2 linked regions of the Lepisosteus oculatus genome follow. The protein of the gene in region 1 purifies or fractionates together with the protein of each later gene. This does not show direct contact. Links are inferred from orthologs where the notes say so. Each region holds a gene or a part of one and is shown in the gene's direction. Other genes may lie near its edges.

Region 1 (9,484 bases):
TTTATATCATTAAAAAGGATTTACCAAATTTCCCTATTATAGTTTTTGTTTTTTGTTAAATGACAATTATTCATTTTATTTTTTTCATTCCAGGTGCATTTGCATGATGTTAAGTTTAAATCCATTTTAAAAATACTTAATCCATTAATGGCATTATTTTGAAAATGATTACACCTCAGTTATATTTTTCTATTATTGCATAGACATATAGATCTGTCAATGTATTTGCCGACATCAACAGTGAGATTTCTGTAGAAAATCCATTTCCTTATGAAAGTGAATTAATTTTCCCTCACAAAAAATAGTAAATTCTGTTTATATTAGGAATTGTTTTAATGCAGAAATTCCACAGTGGAGATTAATATACAGTATGCAGTCACAGGTTAAATGCAATCATAATTTTAGCTTTCACCAGAATGTACGAAGAAGTTATTGTGTATGGGACTTTTATGTACAGCTGTCTCCCTGTGTGGAGTATGCGATCTTACAACAAAATGTATTTTTGCTGAAGAGCATTTTGATATAATATAACAGGCACACATGATTAGCAATCCAGGGAAATATTGGTCTTTTTCTTTACAAATAGTTCAATAAGCAAAGTGAGTTTTATATAAGGGTTGTATTCATAAGTGTAATAAGTTTTGTTTGAATTAAAGCAGAAAGACGCTTTTGATTTTGGTTTGGTTTTGTTAAATCAGCATATCTTATAATATTGATCTGGTCATAATCTCATCAAAGGTAGGATAAGTGCTTCTCATTAATAAATTTAAAAGCAGGGCAATTGTGAAGTGAAATGAGTGATATTCTATGTACATGCAAGTGAAAAATATTTTTGAAATGTCTCAAATTAACCTGTCCAAGTATCAGCAGCTAAAGAGACGCCACTCACCTGATTCTAGCAGCACTGCGTCTTCACAGCTCTCGAGTCCTGGACTTCTCTGAATGGAGGCATTTTCTATGTGGAGTTTGCATGTTTTTATTCTTTTTGTTGGGGGGAGTCCAAGCACTCAGCGTATCCCTTCACCTTCCAAGGACATACTGGCTCGGATAAGATGTTCAACTCAGGCGCTGACAATTTTTGATTCAAGATGTCAAGGCACTGTTTGTATTGGGTTCAATTTTGAGTCCAAGCACAGAAAAGTGACGTGACTGCTCAGGAATCAATCAGGAAAGAGCAACCCGGTCCGTTCCCGGGCTCAAAGGAATATGTCACTCTGGCGGGCTGAGACACGGCTGACCAGTCCTATTCGTGCAGGGCCAAGGTGTTGGCACATTTTTCATCCCAGCTGAAATCTAATTGACCTTCCTTGGCTTGTGATTGACTTTAATAGGCCATTTCACCCACCTTTCCCACTGTTCAGATGCTACTGTTTCAAAGGAACCTAAAAGACCTGTAGACCCACCAGTCCTCCAGCACAAGTGTTGGACAGCTCTTGGATGAAAGACTTGAGAAGACGACAAGGGGGCCTGATGCAAGTGTTCAAAATCTTCAAAGGTATTTGTCAAATCTACAGATGTCCTCGGAATCCACAGTTATCCAGAGGACACAATCGGAAAGTATAGGGAACAGAGGGTAGGTGCAGGTGATGAGAAACAGCTTTGGTCAACCACACTAGGAAGAGGGCCTTCCCCATGTGTTCAAAAAGCCCTCCCTTAAAAGCTGTGATCCAAGTATTCATAATCCTCCAAGGCGCCTGCTTAAACGTCTTCAGAATCACCAGTGAAACATCAGTAGAGAGTAGTTTATTGTCGTATGTACACATATATTAGAATTAATCGCGCTGATCTCTCGGGACATACACAGTACAAAATAATCCCTTACACTTATATAGCGTTTTTCTGGACACTCCACTCAAAGCGCTTTACAGGTAATGGGGACTCCCCTCCACACCACCAGTGTGTAGCCCCCACCTGGATGATGCGACGGCAGCCATAGTGCGCCAGAACGCTCCCCACACATCGGCTATCAGTGGGGAGGAGAACAGAGTGATGAGGCCAGTTCATAGATGGGGATTATTAGGAGGCCATGATTGGAAAAGGCCAATGGGAAATTTGGCCAGGGCGCCAGGGTTAACACCTTTACTCTTTTCGAGAAACACCCTGGGATTTTTAATGACCACGGAGAGTCAGGACCTCGGTTTTTACGTCTCATCCGAACGACGGCGCCTTTTCTTTACAGTATAGTGTCCCCGTCACTATACTGGGGCATAACTGAATTAGCTCAATTCAGTTGACGTCGTTTCTGACTTCAATGCCGTCCTGCCCATGCTGTAATACCCCCTTGAACACAGTGAACACCGGGAATAAAATGGTTTTCTAATGACTTAAGGATAAAGGCTTGATCATTTATACAGCAAATTATCCCGTCGACTGTTTTGAGAATGAACTTTGAATTTTTTTATTTCCATGTTAATCTTGAAAGAAAATACAAGATCTTGTTTCGAAGCGATTTCACATTAAATCGTGTGGTTATTTACATTAAAGACTTTCTAAGGGCAGAAGTCTCGAGCTCGGAACTTTTAACCTCAGGGCGCCAACAGCAATCGGCCTTCTTTTTAAAATATTTATTATTTTTGCCACAAGGGGGCGTCAGACGTTAAAACAATGTTAAGGAACGAAGTCTTAACTCCCAGGACGGCGGAGTTGTGTTCTGAGTAGTTTACCATTATCAATGATTAACCCTTGAGAAAAAACTCAGATTTAGAAACTGGGCGGGAAAGGCGTGTTAAGCATTTACTCCCAACAAGCCTTTCTTCTGCTTCACATTTTATGAAACATTTTTATATGGACTGGGTGTGGTGAATGGGACCCGTATTAACAGCCCAGTCGTAAGCGAATTCTGCAGTTGCAAAAAGGGAGGGGATTTCATGGGTCTGAAAGAAACACATTTATTTTTTCCCCACGCTGAAGAAGTGTGCTTCACAGTCCAGCACGAATTTCCGTGAGAGTCGTGAGGTGTTGGAATGAGACCAGACAAAAACGTACTGCATTTGAGATACATTGGGAGGGAGGGTGACTGCAGAGGCTGTTGTACTCTCGGGTTCTGGTTAATGTCTCCGCTTCAGGTCAAGCCGTGGAGTGTGAGCGAGAAAGAGCATCGCCAGACCCCGGGAAACGCCGATCAGAAGTCGAGCAATCAGAGAGTCTGCGCCCCCGGCCAGCGGACGCCAGGCGCACGGTTCAGCCGCAGCCGTGAAGAACTGCCACTTCTTCTCGTTTCAGTTTTTTTCTCTTCCAGCTCTCGGGCATTTCACCTTCGATGGGGGTGAAACGCTGCTGATTAGCCTTCGTGCAGCTGATTGATAGGAATGCGTACTCCCCGAATAGCTCGGGTCTGGAATAGTTCCTCTGGCTTCCCGGCCTTGGCTGTGATCCAAGCCTGCCTAGTGTCAAGTTCATGTGAGCAGCGCTCTGCGTAAACAGACTGTCCCTCTCCACCCCGCCCCTCCAGACCTGCCAACCTGAAGAGCAGAAACAGATGAAAACGGGGCTTTACTGGAGAGGGATGCTGTGAATGATGGGACTTACTCAGCATGTATCTCTGCGATTTTTCAAATTCACGCTCATTTGTAAAATATATTGCAGATACCCCCCTATTGGACATAAAACGTTACGGTGTGGGCTGTGCTGTAAATTCAATGAAATCAGCTTTAACACATCTTCTCCTCCCGCCTTGGGAATGAAAAAAAAAACACACACACATTCTCATTGCCAAGACGTCTGAACGTGATGACGTTTTCGGAAAGCAAAAAAGAAAAACCGCAGCCGAGCCTAACGTGATCAATAAAGAATGCCGCCGCAGTCTCTTGCCTCTCTGACGGTTGACGCGTTTTGAAATTGCAGCAGACCAGGCGTGCATTTTGACGTGAAAATGCGTTCGTAGTTGATTGGTTTTCACAGAAGACAAATCCGCGTGAAGTATCCCAGATGCACAAGATTAACTTGTAGAAAAGGGGTTTAAGATTCATGCCCTGCTTATATTCAATTTACAATAAAAAGGTATTTGGCAAAGCCGTCATGCACACACAGTACAGCAGGTTTGGGTCGGTGTCATTACTGCTGTGTATAGGTGCTTTATTAAAATCCCACAAACCTTCAGTTCATAGTAAATTGAACATCAATAGAATATCAATGAAACCTAAACACGCTCGTCTAAGCTCAGCTTCCTGTACTACGCGCTGACTGCGCTGGGGGTGTTTTCTGACAGCTCAGCGTTACTCATTACAGGAAAACAACCGCTTCTCGCTGCCAAAAGACTCATCCTGCAGCGTGAGATTGACGAGGCCGAGGAAGGTGCTGACTGGCTCTCCTTCCTGTCTGGAGCAGAGCTGCAGTGGTTTGTATGTGTCCACAATATTAACTTGTGTGACACCCCCCCGCCTCTCTCCAGTCGCTGCTGAATCGCACAGCAGGCTGCTCTCACCTGCTCGGGGGAACGCCGCCTACAGACCTCAGCATTTTCAGCAACTGAGATCTGGTCTTCATCTTCCGTGTTCAATTGTAATTAATACTTATAAGAACTGTGTTCTGTCGTGTGCTACAGGGCCCTTTTTCCCCCCAATTAAACACAGCCTTGAGCTGGATGTTTTCAGCTTTAAAAAGAACAGTTTGCTCGGTGTGTGTGGCGCATTGCAATGGTTCAGCTGTGTTGTAAAAAGCACCGATGCGCGCAGCAAGGAAAACCCCAGAAAATGTTACACGTGTTAGAAGCGCGCTACCTTTAAGAAGAAAATTAATAACGCTATTTTAATTGTAAAACGAGGGGTAAATGCCAAAATACCGCAGTTCCCTCACAGCACAGCTGTAAAACCGCCTTCCTCGGTAACCCCTCTCCTTTTGCAGAGGTGCGGTTGGAATGCGTGAGCGCCGCAGCCTGTTATGTGTCTAAGGGGGCTTCAACTTCTTCCTCGCCCATCCCTCAGCCGCGCACACACACACACACCGTGGAGGGAACCCCCTCCCCATCGCAGAGGGGTTTTCCCTCTGCGGACTCACGATCACTGCAGAAACGTGGCGCATCACACTATTCCGTGATGCTGCGGTGAGTGCAATAGCGTGTTTCTCTACAGTCGGAGCAGTGTCGCCACACACACCTCTGCGCGACCGAAGCACTGAAGGAACCCATTCCGCATCAGCGCAACGCTCGTCGTCCTGCTATCGTTATTGCTTCGTTACAAAAGCAAAGCTGTGGCAATTCTCTTGTACGCACTGAGCTGGGCACCCGTGACCCACATTGGTGAAGCAACGCAACTGTAAAAGCAAACTGAGGAGAGCAGCGGGGACGAAACTACAAATCCCAGATGCTGGAACAATATCCTCACACGGTTCAGTCTCCTGTAATCAACCACTACGGACCTGCCCACTAGCATCTCCTCTCTGATTGGATCCCGGTAGATAAACTCCCCGATCCAATTGGCTGTAGCAGTTGCCAATCTGGACGGAAATGTATCCAGTTCCCCGGTATCCAGTTGCAGCCTTTGAGAACAGACTACAAAGAAACGGGAGCTTGTCTATGGGATCTCATTGTTTTGCACTGATACAAACCTGAGAAGGAATTTACAATTTGGTTTTTTTTCTCCCCTTGGCTCTCACTAATTTTCCCACCGGCTTCAGGATGATGAAGTTTAGGTTCAGGAGACAGGGGAATGATCCCCAAAGAGAGAAAATCAAACAGGACCTTTTTGCTTTTAATAAGGTAACGTTGAAACATTTGGGAAAGACGTCCGTTTCTTTCTGGTGGCAAGCATGCCGACTCGTATTGTATCAGTGAACTGTATTGAGAGTTAAAAGGGGGGGGCATTTTTAGTTTTAATGCACGCTTCAAATGTGAGGAGACGTTCATACAATCTGCATTTATCTTATTTTTAAGCACCCGTGTAAAGGTAGGGCATAGCTGGGAAAAATTGCAGTCTAACGGTCCCGCTAATCTGAGAACAAATCTCTGCATCTGCGTACGGCTAGGGGATTCGTGTGTTGTTGTCTGTCGCCTTCCTAGTTTGTGAAAGTCATGGAAAATGTGTCATCTCTGGAGTTTGACCAGTGCTGGGGGTTTAATGTGTGCTTCTAAATCGATTAGTTTCCTCGTGCTGCAGAACATGGTTTAACAATAATTGAAGTGCTGCAGTTTCTTAGGAGTTAGACACGCCGATGGACGCGGAGAGAAGTTGCATTTCCTCATATATTTTTACAAATCTGTGTTTCTTCCTTCAGTTCACCCCTTCATGTTTATTACCATTGATATTAAGACCAGTCGTCAAAACCCGTTACTCTAATAAGGCACTTTATCGGTCTATTGAGAAAAATCGGTCTATCCTGATTCGCTCTCGGTTTGTACTTTGCGTTTCTCTAGCATTTTTAACTACATTTTAATTCCTTCGAAATGCTTCTATAACAAATTTTGGTCTCTCGTCCAACCTACCAGCTGGCTAATATATACCGTATATATGAGTAGGTGTAGTTTATTTCGCCTTGTTTATTTGCATCATGTAGCGAAGTAGCTCGGTGTTTTAAAACGCGTGCTCCAGCACATTCATAACTGTTCCATTCACATTCATGTCCAAATTAACTGTTGTTCTCGCCTGAATGGATTTACAGTGGGAAAACGGACAATAACCGCATACACTGTCCTTTACGGAGGAGTTAAAACATCGTTTAATGACACGCACCTAAAGTGCAGGGAATATACCATTAGTATGAGTCATTTTATAGTGTGATGGCTCTGATGGGGCACTATGTGGTAAATTTAAATCGAGAAAAAAATGCAAACAATTTACGAGTTTCTGCGTATTTTGTGTATCTCAAACCCCAGTAAGCAACCAGTTTAGGGGTGCATTGCCCACAAAACACGTCTCTACCAGCTCGCGCAGTTTGTTCTGTGAGGAGGTGTATTTGGGATAATCGTACAAGTTTCTGTCAAATGTATGAAATGCCTAAAGGGGGGGTATTGTTCCTCTTTTTGAGAGTGTTGCAGGCACTTCTTTTTCTTATAAATCAACTGATTCCCAGCGCTAGTGTTTTCATCCCTTATAGCGTTTGATCGAGATAATTTTATTAAATTAAACTAGTTGTGACCAGGGCAACATGGTGGTATATTGGTTTAAGATTGTAATTCGTAAGGGGGGAAAGAGACGGTCTTTAAAAAAACAATATGGGACGTGCTCATCATGTTGAACGTTTAAGAGAACTGTTTATTTCTGGGGGAAGGCAGTTTCCGTGTGCTTTTATGTGGGAGTGGGAGTTCAATGCACTATTGCATTTTTCCTTAAACAAATAGCGTGTACTCCCACCGGTAACAATTCTAAACCTGTGCTTTGATGTGACAAATGGTTGGTAATGTGTTTGAAAACCTTCGTCTTTCCACAGGGAGTAAATGCAACCAACAAAACGTGCGTTTTGTGCTACTGTTGTTGGTTTGCCTGTGCTACAATGCAGTTGGAGTGCTTATCAATTCTTTTGATGTTCTGTTTGTCATATATCGTGTGCCCTTGCCGTATTTATGACAATATTGAAGTTGTTTTGTGTTAAAAACCTTTAGGATTCTTTAAGACAAAGGGCCATGTTTAAGTTAAAACCCTGTTAAAAAAATTGCTTCAATATTTTAAAAAGTTATTGCAGGCAGCTTCGCATTACCCACTGCGCTATGTAAACATTGTATTCGGTTCACACAAGTACCTCACGTGATTTTTTTAAAGAGAGAGAGTGATGAATGGAGTGTTACAGGAGCAGGAAGTATAGTTTCTTGTTGAGCAAAACCACAGATCTTGGCAAGTGGAACTTTTGCGGACTGCATTTCTGTGGGATCCTCTTTCTGCTGTTGATGGGGGGAGAGTTTGTCTTCCAACTTTCTATAGATACCCCTCCACTGGGAGGTTGGGGGGCTTGACTGAGGGAGGAGAAATGTGTCCATGAGCCCTTAGTACTTCATTGCACAATGTGAGCTGTGACACATTGCTGTCTCCTTCTGATGGATGACTAAGGGTCCTGTGAGGTGATGTCAGCTGTTTGTTGTCATGTTTGTGCTTCTCTGGGAAAAGGCACAGCTTTTCCTCTATGAATGCATGTTCAAGAACATCCCTTTTCTCCTTCTGACTGGCAATAACATTGGTTAGGCAATGGGTTTGGCATTCATTTTCAATCCAAGTCTGATGCATTTGAAATTTGGAGATGCATCTAGGAAGACTGGAGAAGGGGTGGAATCTCGAGATAGAGGAGCTGCCCGATTTCTGAATCCGAAGGTAAATCAGGGCCCTGTTGTGCCACAGGTGACCCTAGGAATAGGGTAACATCCCTTTCTGCGTGGAATAAAAGATCCCTTGAACAGCATCGATCCGTCTCTTCTCCAGCAGCAGAGAGAAAGCACAGAGCCACATGAAATACAACCAGTCCAAAGGGCACAGTGGTTTTACTGATGAGTTCTGCTCTGCTGATGTTAATGAAGTCCTCCATCAATATTTAATTGTAGCATTTAAAAATGTCACATAGGGTAATCCATCGTCAGACTGCACAGGGGTTTAATCCATCAGGGAGGTGCTTATTCTGCTGGTGCCGCGAAACAGGGCTCACTGGCTGGGTCTGTGAGAGGCGCCCCATTATTGGAGCCCGGTTGTCCCCTAACTGTAAAAAGCAGTGGTGATTGTGGAAGGTCGCGGCATTAACGAGTGGTAAGGATTTTTTTTTACTGGACAGCTTTAGTCTAATTTCGTGAGCAGACTGTCAGTCATTCAGTGCTGTGTAAAAGTGAAACTCTGGATGCACTTGCTTCTTAGATTAACTGCACTTTGAGTGGATTGTCGGAAGATTATGATACATTGATCGTGGCTTGGTGCTGCCTTCAAACTGGTGGATGTTTCAGTGCTTTGAATGAATATATACATTTATTTAATCTAAGAGAGGGTAACTTCATTATTAAAAGGGAAATTGCTTTTTTTTTAAAAAAGGAACGCAGGGATGGCTTGATTTCTTATTAATCCAGAATCAAAATTCAGTCAACCTTTCCAGGCTGGATATATTTGAAAAGGAGGCTTATACTTTTCCACTTGCTTGAATATACTGCTGCCCGATAACATTGTTTAAAATCGGGCTCTACTGCCTTCGGAAACACAACATTGCTCCCAATGCTGGTTTTTCAATTATGTTTCTTTGAAAGCTGAGCTAGTTTTGAATGTTGTACCAGACCACATTGAAACGCGTTTTGCTTGCTTTGCTTATCGTATATAAGAATGCAAGAGAGGTTACTAACGAGAGGGGGTCCATCTCGTCTTTTTGTTAATTAGTAGTTAATCTCCGGGTCTCATCCAGCTGTTTCTTGAAAGAACAAGGGTATCCACACCTTGACTGGTTCCTACAGTACTTTTACAACCCTTTGCATCAAGAAATGTTCCCCATTTGAAATTTGCTTCCATGTAGTTTCCATCTGTGCTCTCTCTTGTCTGTGTTTCACTTTTCATTTTGAAGAAATCTTCTTGGTGGGCTGAGTCATGATGGC
Region 2 (10,011 bases), on another chromosome or scaffold:
GTATTTCAGTACATTTACACAATAGTTGTCTGGCTCTGTTAGCTTCTGTCTGTTAAAACATGAGCAGCTTCAATGACGAATGAAGAAGGCTTCTATAGCAAAACCATGAAATGACCAATGATTCTTATACATGTTTAGCTCCTAGCTCCTGATTTCCAAAAATGGTAATAATTTAGAAATATGATTCTTCTTTCCATTAAATTTTTCTTTGTGAGACAAAATCAATCTACATCAAGTACCAAAGAAAACTTTGCTTTCAAGCTGCATTAATCTGGACAATTCACATTAAACTACTTTTTGCGTTTCTATCGGGAATCTATTCAGGGGTGATTCACGCAACAGCGGATTTTGTTAATTTTCAGACTTTGCACTTTGCTGACATCAAAAAATTAAATTTGAGCACGACAGGTCTCCATTGCAGCTTAGTCGCCAATGTAATTTGGAGGCATCTAATGTGAGAACTGACATCAAGCTTTTAAGATCCGAAAGCTACACAACTGGTTGAAGTTCTAGTAAAGCAGCAAAGACGGGTGACCAGAAAACACGCAAGAATTCCAAGATCTTAGTAATAAAAAAAGAATGAAGCAAAAACCATGCCTTGATATTTACAGACCACAATTCGCTCTCATTTTTAAGAAGTATTACGCATCATATTTTCGAAATAGCTGCGAATCAATGGTTTGTTTCCGCGTAATTTCACTGGGTTAAATGCCAGATACAAAACCTACACGATGTCTACTACAAACGCGTAGATGTAAACACAGAGCAATGGGTAACAGCACGAAAGCTGTCGTCTGTTTTTTTTCTTTTAATGTAACAACATATAAAAGATCAAATTTCCTGGGAAGGGAATACATGACGGTTAGCATCCGTGCTCGTGTGCAGATTGCTGGAGGAGGCGTGTAAAAGTCTCTCGGGACTGCAGAAGAAGCTCAAAGCTCAGCTGTCAATCACAGTACTGCCTCGTCTCACCTTTTGAGCGAGTACACCTGTACTGTGAGAGTCGGCCTCGCCTCCTACGGAGAAGGAAGTGGAGTCACTGATGTGCTGTGATGTGAAACTGGAATTCCAAACACCTTAACTCCCAATACACCGTGTTCGAGGCCCCAGCGGATAAGTTCATTCAGTAGGTTGTGTTTACAGGAATGCACGGACTGCAACGTAATTTTCCGCCTACACGATTGTCATAAACACGCCATCCCTTCGGTTAATAATAGGAAGCGCCACGTTTCACCAGCGCCATAAAGAATTAATGACTCGGATACAGTTCACGGCTGAAGAATCGGTTACCTGCCTGCCACCGGAGATCCAACAAATGAAATGGCCACTCGAGACACGGCGATTGCTGAATAACCAACCCCATTTTAACTCGTCATCTTATACGAGTCAACTAAACTCCTTAAATAATCTATTCGCTGTCAGTTTCGTTCAGGAGAGTTGTAAACTCTCGTTTTAATAGAGTTTATTACAAAGACACTAAGTGTAAGTATCGATGTAAACACGTTTTGATTTCAAGTCATAATCAAGCTTTCATCAGATGCTCATCTGAAAAGATTCCAGTCCTTTAAAACGAGTCTTCTTAAAATTGGATGCAGTTTAGCTACCCACAACCGGATAGGCCCTCGGCTTTTACCCCTTTCTTTAGCACACAGGATGCGCTCCCCATGTGAAAATCTTTATTAACACCTTCATTCAAGACCGGTTATGGCTCAGAAGCATTAGAAAAAAATAAAACAAACTCATAAACTTAATGGTTATTTACCTAGTGCTACCTGACAGGCTTTCCTTAGCTGACTGTGCTGAGCTCGCTTCACCTCCTTATCGGACAGGATTTTCTCTAAAGCCCGGGACAAAAACATGCTCTTGGTTTTGCTGCTTTCCTCCTTCTGTTGCATTGCTTTCCGTGCTTCAGATCGCCATTGCCAACGGAATCCCACGCTCCGAGACGGTTAAACGGCATGAATTAAAACTCCACAAGGAGAGTGAAGGTGTACGGAGCTGCTACCTCAGCACTGCGCCGCCATGTTGGCAACATCTCGTCACGTGACTCTCAGCTGCTTCCATTGACGTAGAGCGGCCGGGAGCTCCAGCTCAGTTAATGTGAATTTGCATGGGGTAGGTTACACGCTGCACTTTTGGGACCTTTCAGCAATATCTCCGTGTTGCCACTGAAATCCTTGTTATTTGCTTAAAGATTGCTCTCGGACTTAGAAGATAAACCTCCCTAAATGACGTTACTGTCACTGACGGGGACAATGTTAAGGAGTCTTGTGGTCAAGTGTAGTTCTGTCATTTAAAATGAGTACTTGTGGTTCAATAAATAGTTTCCGTATCATTGAAACTATATAATTAAGATGTACTACAATTATGTGTTATTTATTAAAATTACGGGTCTGATGTGTGCGAGTGCAATACAGAAGTCGAGCATTTATTGTTCTGCATTTTAAATCCGACTTCTACGATATTATCGGGTTCGTTTGAAAACATCAGGAAAAGCGAATGAAGATGTATGATTTATAAATGTAATGGGATACGTCATATCGCAATTCGGACACAGGTGCACTCCATTATCATGCACAAACTACATAGGAGTGTCATTTTCTTAACAAAATGTGATCACGAATGACGTCATTGGAGCTGTGCATCATTGTCATCATGACAGAGAATGAAGTATTTTTCCTGGAAAATAGTGCTACCTCAGCCTACACAACTACAACAAACGTCACAAGAATCTAATCTGTCAAAGTCAGAGTTTTCCTCCCTGCCTACGAATCATCGACTCGCGCACAATCTACATAAAAGTTATGAACGAGAAGACATCAGACCCTCTATCCCGTTCGGTAATAATTGATCCCATTACCTCATCCACCTATTTCTTGAAAGGAGCCAATGTTGTGCCTTCACCTACACGCCAGGGCACCTTGTTACAAACTCCTACCACCCTTCGTGTAAAGAAGGGTCTCCTGTTCTTATCTTTAAATGCACTTTCACTTAGGTTTCTACTTGTGGCATCCGGTTCGCGTTTTATTATTTCTTCTGAACAATTCCACTGAGCACCTTAACTTTTTATGATTTTAATACCTTGGTCAGATCACGTTTTTAGTCTTCTGGATGAGAAATTTCCATATTATAGCAGGAAGTGAATAAAATGTATTATAGTAAAGCGAAACATTGAACTGTATTATTGTACAGTAAAATGTCTACACATCTATACCCATTTATAGATTTCTACTAACCCGTGATTACAATAACGTTTAGCGTGTCAGTGCGGGACATTCTTTTGAACTCGAAATCTTTAGGCGATCTGGGATTAATGAAGTTCCAAACGAAGGTTCGGGATCACCAGGCTCGCCCATTTCCGTTCACCTCCGTGGAAATATCCCGATTCGTGAACACCTCCTCTCTCTCCTTATAAGCGCGCACTGCGTCCTCCGCCCCAGTATCACCCGAGAAGCGGCACCCCTGGCCTAACCCTCATAAAACTGGGAGGCTCTGGCATCCTCTCTCGTCCTTACTGCCAGGCTGAGGTCATCTCAGGCGCACAAATCAAGACAATAAATCCATAAAATTCAAATGACCTCTCTACTCTGGATTGATTAGGGTTTGGTGTGACAAGGGGTGGTAGTTTCAGATAAGATCCAGAGGATGGCGGTAAAATTAAACAGACAACCTAACTAAATTTCTTTAGTTTTCGCGTTTTATTTCAAGTACTCGGTCATTCCCAGATACCCCTAAATACTGCTACCAAGACGCGTGTCCCCTCGGTATTGAAAGAGAAGAAAACAGCAAGTCAACGGGGCGCTGTTTTGAACTCGGTTCCTTGCACGATTTTAATAATAATAATAATAATAATAATAATAATAATAATAATAATAATAATAATAATAATACTTGCTTACAGTTATATAGCGCTTTTTCTGGACACTCCACTCAAAGCGCTTTACAGGTAATGGGGACTCCCCTCCACCACCAATGTGCAGCTTCCACCTTTTATGCAGGGGTTGTGCTTAGGAAAGTTTCCCCCCAACATAATACAATATACTATATATATATATTTCCTACTTCAAACGTTTGGCATGTCTGTGACCATTTAATACTCTTTTCCCAGCATTTTCTGGCATTAAGAGTAATAATGATGGGGCTTGCTAGGTGTACTTGCTAGTGTTTCTTACGTACTGTAGGTTTTTCGTCCCGTGACTATAATCAGCAGACGTCGTGGAACTGTGGAGTACTGGAAAATGGCAAAAGTTCTGTGTCTTACTGAGAACACTGTGTGGTACTCAGTTCTGAACGGAACTTTGCAACTTAAGAAAGGAATCTGGTACTGGGGCTAGAGACGTAAACACGACATAAATAATAAAGCCCCATTGGTCTGGAAAATAATTTATAATGTGGCAATTTGATTCGGATACCCGTGGTCTTAAAAAGTACTGTCAAAGTCTATCCCGACTGAGTGAATCAAACAGATTAATAAAGAATCGCAGAAAATAGGGCACACACGTCATTCAGGCGCCAGGACCCCAGGAACAACCCCGCCGTAATATTTTTGAAGACATGGAAGCTATCTAATAATGAAATGGGCAGCAAGGCCTTTCAGTTATACTCTTCTCAACCTGCTCAATGTACTGTCTTTTTCTTTTACACAGTCATGACAACCCAAGGAGCGACCAAAATCAACACGATGGGGTGTGATGTGTGAAACCACGTGTTGATTTTTATCGGGTGGCACTGGGCTAAAAGAAAATGCCGCCTAATATCTCCCGAGGAGAGGAGAGTGACTTATACAGGGACACAGATGAGTTACATGCAAGAATTTAAAATGGGCAATTGACAATTGTACAGTAACAAGAGCCCCTCTTGCTTTCTTCTTGAAACAAAGCAACGTATATCGGCATAAATTAAACCTGCTTTGACTTGTGTTCACAAACTGTTACAGCGTTTTATCCTGGCCGATTTCCCATAGTCATGAAATACTGATCCATTCGGAAAATAACAGAAAATAGGAGCGATGTATCTCACATTACAGAGTGTGCACGACTGCTGCACAACATTAAAAGGGATACGTGGAAATTCCTGCATTCCTGTGGTTTATATCCTTACATATTTCCACACGTATATTGTTCCTTATATGTTTTTCCTTTAAATCAGATCTGGAGGGTATTTGCAAACACATTGATATTTATTTAATAACTATACATATTAAAATATGGTATTGTGTACAATATGATAGAAAACAATTCGAAAATATTTTCACAGATATTGTAAACGGGGGACGCAGCTGCTGTATTTGCACGACGCTTGTTTCCAAGACATTGTTTACAGTTGTTGCTTGTTTCCACTGTTAAAATGAAAATGTCAGAAGGAAGTAACAGCCAGTTTGGATATGTTGTGAAAACAATTTGCTTGTGTGCTGAAATAATAATAAACATCTTCCTTTTAAAAAGTGAAATAATGTTATTAAATGTGTTTTCAACTTTGAACAGACAACAAAATCCAGTAAGAGGGTGTCTGTTACAGCCGGCCGTCCTCTTCTGCTGGAGTTTTAAAGCATCATGTGCTTTATAGAGTTATTTGCATGTACAGAACAGACGCGTGCGGGACAGCGCTCCCCGGAAAGGAACGAGTGCGCGCAAGGCGACCGCCGCGGACCTGAGAGGCAGAAGCGCGCAGCATTGTACCGACGGGAGCGCGCGTCGCCGAAACGAGGCTGCCCTGGAGCCGTTTCCTGGGTGCGGATTGCGTCACCGCCGAGGCGCTGCGAGTGTGCGTGTGAGCGAGAGAGAGAGTTTGAAAGCAGGTTGTTGTCAGGCGGAGGCGACCAGAGCGAGCTTGCAGGAGAGGGAGACGTTGCGAGAAAATACCGAAACTGGCACAAGACGCGCGTGTGTGCGTGGGGGTGGGCTGGTTACATTGCAATACCTGGATTACAGCGGACCCACTCTCCCGCGGATACAAAACAGAGGAGTGAGCCGGACCAGCGGGGGCAGTAGCCCTGGGGAGGGCGAGACTGACAAATAACAGGGTGTCCTGGCGAGAAAAGATGAATAAAAATCACCGAGTGCCGAGCAGCCGGACTCTGAGCGCCGTGGAGGTGAAGAGCAAGGTGCGTACGGCTCAACGGGCCACTCCAGACCTGCGTGTTGCGGCATTCCCGGGTCGAACCGAGCCTGCCCGGGCTGCTTCCGTGGGTGACGGCGCACCGTCGGTCTCTTGTGTTAGGTATTTAAAAGTTGTCCCGGATCCCCGCTCCCCGGAGAGCAGGGCATCGGGCCACTTCAAACCTGCGTGTTGCGGCATTCCCGGGTCGAACCGAGCCTGCCCGGGCTGTTTTCCGTGGGTGACGGCCGTGGAGAGTGACCGGCCGGCGTGGGCTCGCAGGACCCGTAACTAGTAACACAGCCGGCGACGGCAGCGGCGGGTAATTAAAAAAAAAAAACAACCTGATCGGGTCGTGGAAATCGACCTTCGACTTCCAGCAACAAAACAACAACAAACCCAGTCGCCTTGGCTGGCAGCTGTGAATTACAAGAGACGAGGGTCGCCCCGAAGGGTCTGTTGTAGTTGAAGCGTCGCCTAGTTTAAAGACACCCGATGCTTGATCATCGATAATGTCACCTGGCGCTGCGTTTTTACGATACTTCCAGCCAAAGGGCTTAGTTTGTAAAACGTTTCGTTTGCGGGGAACGCGGGGGAACTCGGATTTTCTGTTCTTTGAACTTGAGCGCTTCTGCACTCATTTGAGCCGACGCTGTCCTGCAGGTTTTAGGTCTCCGATGTATCTTTTCATGGGGGGGAGTCTCTTAGCCTGCTCTTAATCTTCTTTCATTCTTAAATCGAGCAATATCGGACAAAGACGCACTTCACAGGACGTTCCCAAAACAGCTGTGAAACTTTCCACCTCCCTCGACACCACACTCCTTAAAGCCGTTGAAGAAACACTTTTTTTTTATCGGGCTCTTTTTGTTTGTTTTTGCCCCACGCAATGGAAAGGGAGTTCGGTAGCACTGTGTCACAGTTCAGATTAAATCGCTGTCCTGACACGGTGTGCGCTTTAAAGAACATGTTGCTACGGTTATTGTCGCTGTAAACTTCATGATCACCACTCATACATGGCCGGGCCCTGGCGCGTACGGTGTGAGATGGAAACAGAATGTGAAAATGTAAAAGTGACAAAGTTTCACACTCTTTTTTTTAAGGCTCGGTTTCTGAGCCATTAAAATAATGTTTCTGTTTTAAACAGTCTTCTTGAAAAGATAGCGGTGAATTTGTACAGGTACCTTGATTTATTGTACTGAGGTACAATGTGTCTTATTGCTGCATGTCACACATATGGAGTAGGGCCATGAGAAACTAACTGCACATCATGCTCTCTTAAATGTATTTTATTATCTTAAAGGATTTAAAACACACCTGTAACAGTGGTGTAGAATTCTTATTTTTATCCCGTCCCTCCTTATGTCCAACACCTGAAGAAGGCTCCACGGCCGAAACGTTGTGTTCTCTTTCTTCTTTTTTTCAGCATGGAATAAACCTATTACTTGTTCCTTGTCTAATGTTGTTCAGGGTTCAGCAGCTGTTTGTAATTTGTTAGTTGTAGGATTTTGTTTGTGTTGCTGTTAGTTCTTTCCAAGTAACAAGTCTCATTACTTATGTCTTGAGTTGCAGGTTGGGCCCATCATAAATTCTTGGGTGAGATTGAATTTAATATTACACCTAACAAGGGTCAGAACCACCCAAAAAAGCCCATCGCAAATTTTAAACAGACATTAATCTGAGCACACTCTCTCTATATATTGGGTTTTTAAACACAACTGTGATGCTTGTTTTACTCCACGCGTTGTGGTTTTTCAGACGCTTACCCGACCTCAGCCCAAAACCAACCTCTACCCTCAATGCTGTCTGAAACACTTCCAGAAATAAAAATGCTACTTAACAGTAAAAACAATTTGGTCAGAAATATGGTAAATTAACTTATCTATTTGAAAGTATCATTGGACCATTTTGGTTCACTTTTTTTTGTTCCAAAGCATTTTATAGAAAACTGAAAACTCTTTTTTTCCCGTTTTTCTTTTGTTTCAGTTTCGTTTCATAGCACTTCAATATGTAACTGTAAGATTTGCTTAACAGAAGAAAAGATCACGTTGGTTTTGTGTAAAAAATGAAACAAACATTAGATGTCATTCCCATATTACTGTCATAATATTATCCAGTGGCAATACATATCCTGAGGGTTTTTCATAGATCTGATAAGAAGCTTGACGTTGCAGTATTTGGTTCAAGAGCTTATTCACCCAATAATGAATGTCTAACATAGGAAGTTCTGTTTGCATTGGTATTGTGCTTTACATGCCTTCCCTGGACCTTTCTATAGGAAGTACAAATTTGATCAGATTCGTTTGTGAAGAAGAAGCACAGTCTTATCACACAGTGCCTTAAAGTTCGTTGGTCATTACATATGAACTTGAACTTGGGCACGACTTGAATAAATCACAGTCCAAAAGTTTATGGTGCAACGGAATATAGTAGGATGGTAACGGAGATCTTTTTGGGTTTTGGTGTAATCTTTGATTATGTATATCTTGAACAGATGACTGGCCCGCTGGCCATTCTGTTGATGAAACCTTGATGATGAAATTGTCAAAAAGTATAATGGAAGCCAGAAAAGTTAGAATGTTGCCATGCTGGGGAGGGTCAGTTCTTTGCCCAGAAATTAACATCTGCATATTAGGTGTGTTGTTTTCTGAATTTATGAGAACGGTTATTACTTAGTTCAGCACATTGTAATGTATTATTATTATTGGCACAGAAAGTTCAATGAAAGTGTGGCTCTAATCTTAACAGGAAAGCATTTATTTGCTCAGCAGAATTAAGGTTTTTGTCATGAACACACCCTGCCTGGCTTAGCAGTCAACAAGCCCTCTCTATCTGAAGAGAGGGCTAATAACCAAATTATAGGTGAGCGGTCTATTGTGTTTTGCTCCTGACGGGTTCTTGTGTTTGTGCCTAGTTTATGCTTGGTATAGTCTGTAAGACTCCGAAATGTACTCCTTGAGGAGCGTTTGAAATGTAACCTGGAGGACTTCTGCAGAAGGGAAAAAAACCCACTTGTTTTAGGATGGTTTTGATACATTGTCATCCCCACCTGCTCCTCGTAAGGGTTCACTTATTAGTGACTGTTTAGTCACCTGCAGTGCGGAAGCAAGGGAATAAATGTCTAAAGAAGCAAGCCGATCAGTTAAAGAACTGTAGCACATTGCTAACTAATCCAAAGCTGAATTTAAGAATGCAAAGAAAGTGTTGTTAGGTGATGTAGTGATGCTGAGGTTGAGTCAGTCCATCAGTCTGTTCTTGGTTTGTTTCAATTGATCACTGTCAGTTCTCAAAACTGTACATTGATTTAGTTTAAACCAAAATTGAATCATTTGTTTAAATCAAGTACTTCGTTTAAACAACTAACTTCCCATTGCATTGCAGTTTAACCCAATGACTGTTTGATTTGAATTCAATATGTCATACCGATGTATACAGTCTGCCAGTTTAATTGTTTTTGCCCTGCTGTGTTGTGCTCTAATCTAGTGCAGCACTTATTCTTTTAACAGCGTTCAGCCATCATTCATCAATCTTTGTGGAAGCATTTGATGACAATGCAACTTTTGACATCACTGAAACTTTTAAATAATACCGTTTGAATAAACTTGTAATAGTGAGTCATCTTTGTAGTTTGAAATCACTAAGTAGTGTTTTTGTGGAATCGTATGTTTGCTATTTTACTATGGAAAAAATCCCCAATTTCTTTCAGATGGCAGGCATTTAAATCATATGAAGTCCTAAGCTACAGTAGCTTTTGCAAAAAAGAGCCATTCTGTCTTGGAAAAAAAGTTAGCTAAAAGACGGTCGTCAAGGGGTGTTTTGAAACTGGTTTTCTGTTAAATATAGTATGATGATACTCTTCATTGTATTAATTTAACCTTTTCATAGTCTTTGCATAACCTTATATTTATCAGTGTTTAT

Evidence for each region.
Region 2: the proteins of llgl1 (region 1) and pard6b purify together in Homo sapiens (affinity purification with mass spectrometry; 5 studies listed by BioGRID and IntAct, counting the BioPlex papers as one, with this or other methods). This does not show direct contact. The link is inferred for Lepisosteus oculatus from reciprocal best matches to the Homo sapiens genes LLGL1 and PARD6B.

The regions. Positions count from the first base shown.
Region 1 is NC_090714.1:11,060,932-11,070,415, reverse strand, and holds the start of llgl1 (lethal(2) giant larvae protein homolog 1), read left to right. Parts: upstream 1-5,019; 5' UTR 5,020-5,614; coding exon 5,615-5,695; intron 5,696-9,484. UniProt on the Homo sapiens protein: Cortical cytoskeleton protein found in a complex involved in maintaining cell polarity and epithelial integrity. Involved in the regulation of mitotic spindle orientation, proliferation, differentiation and tissue organization of neuroepithelial cells.
Region 2 is NC_090711.1:9,497,159-9,507,169, forward strand, and holds the start of pard6b (partitioning defective 6 homolog beta), read left to right. Parts: upstream 1-5,710; 5' UTR 5,711-6,040; coding exon 6,041-6,103; intron 6,104-10,011. Other genes in the region: brefeldin A-inhibited guanine nucleotide-exchange protein 2, read right to left, coding at 1,763-1,895. UniProt on the Homo sapiens protein: Adapter protein involved in asymmetrical cell division and cell polarization processes. Probably involved in formation of epithelial tight junctions.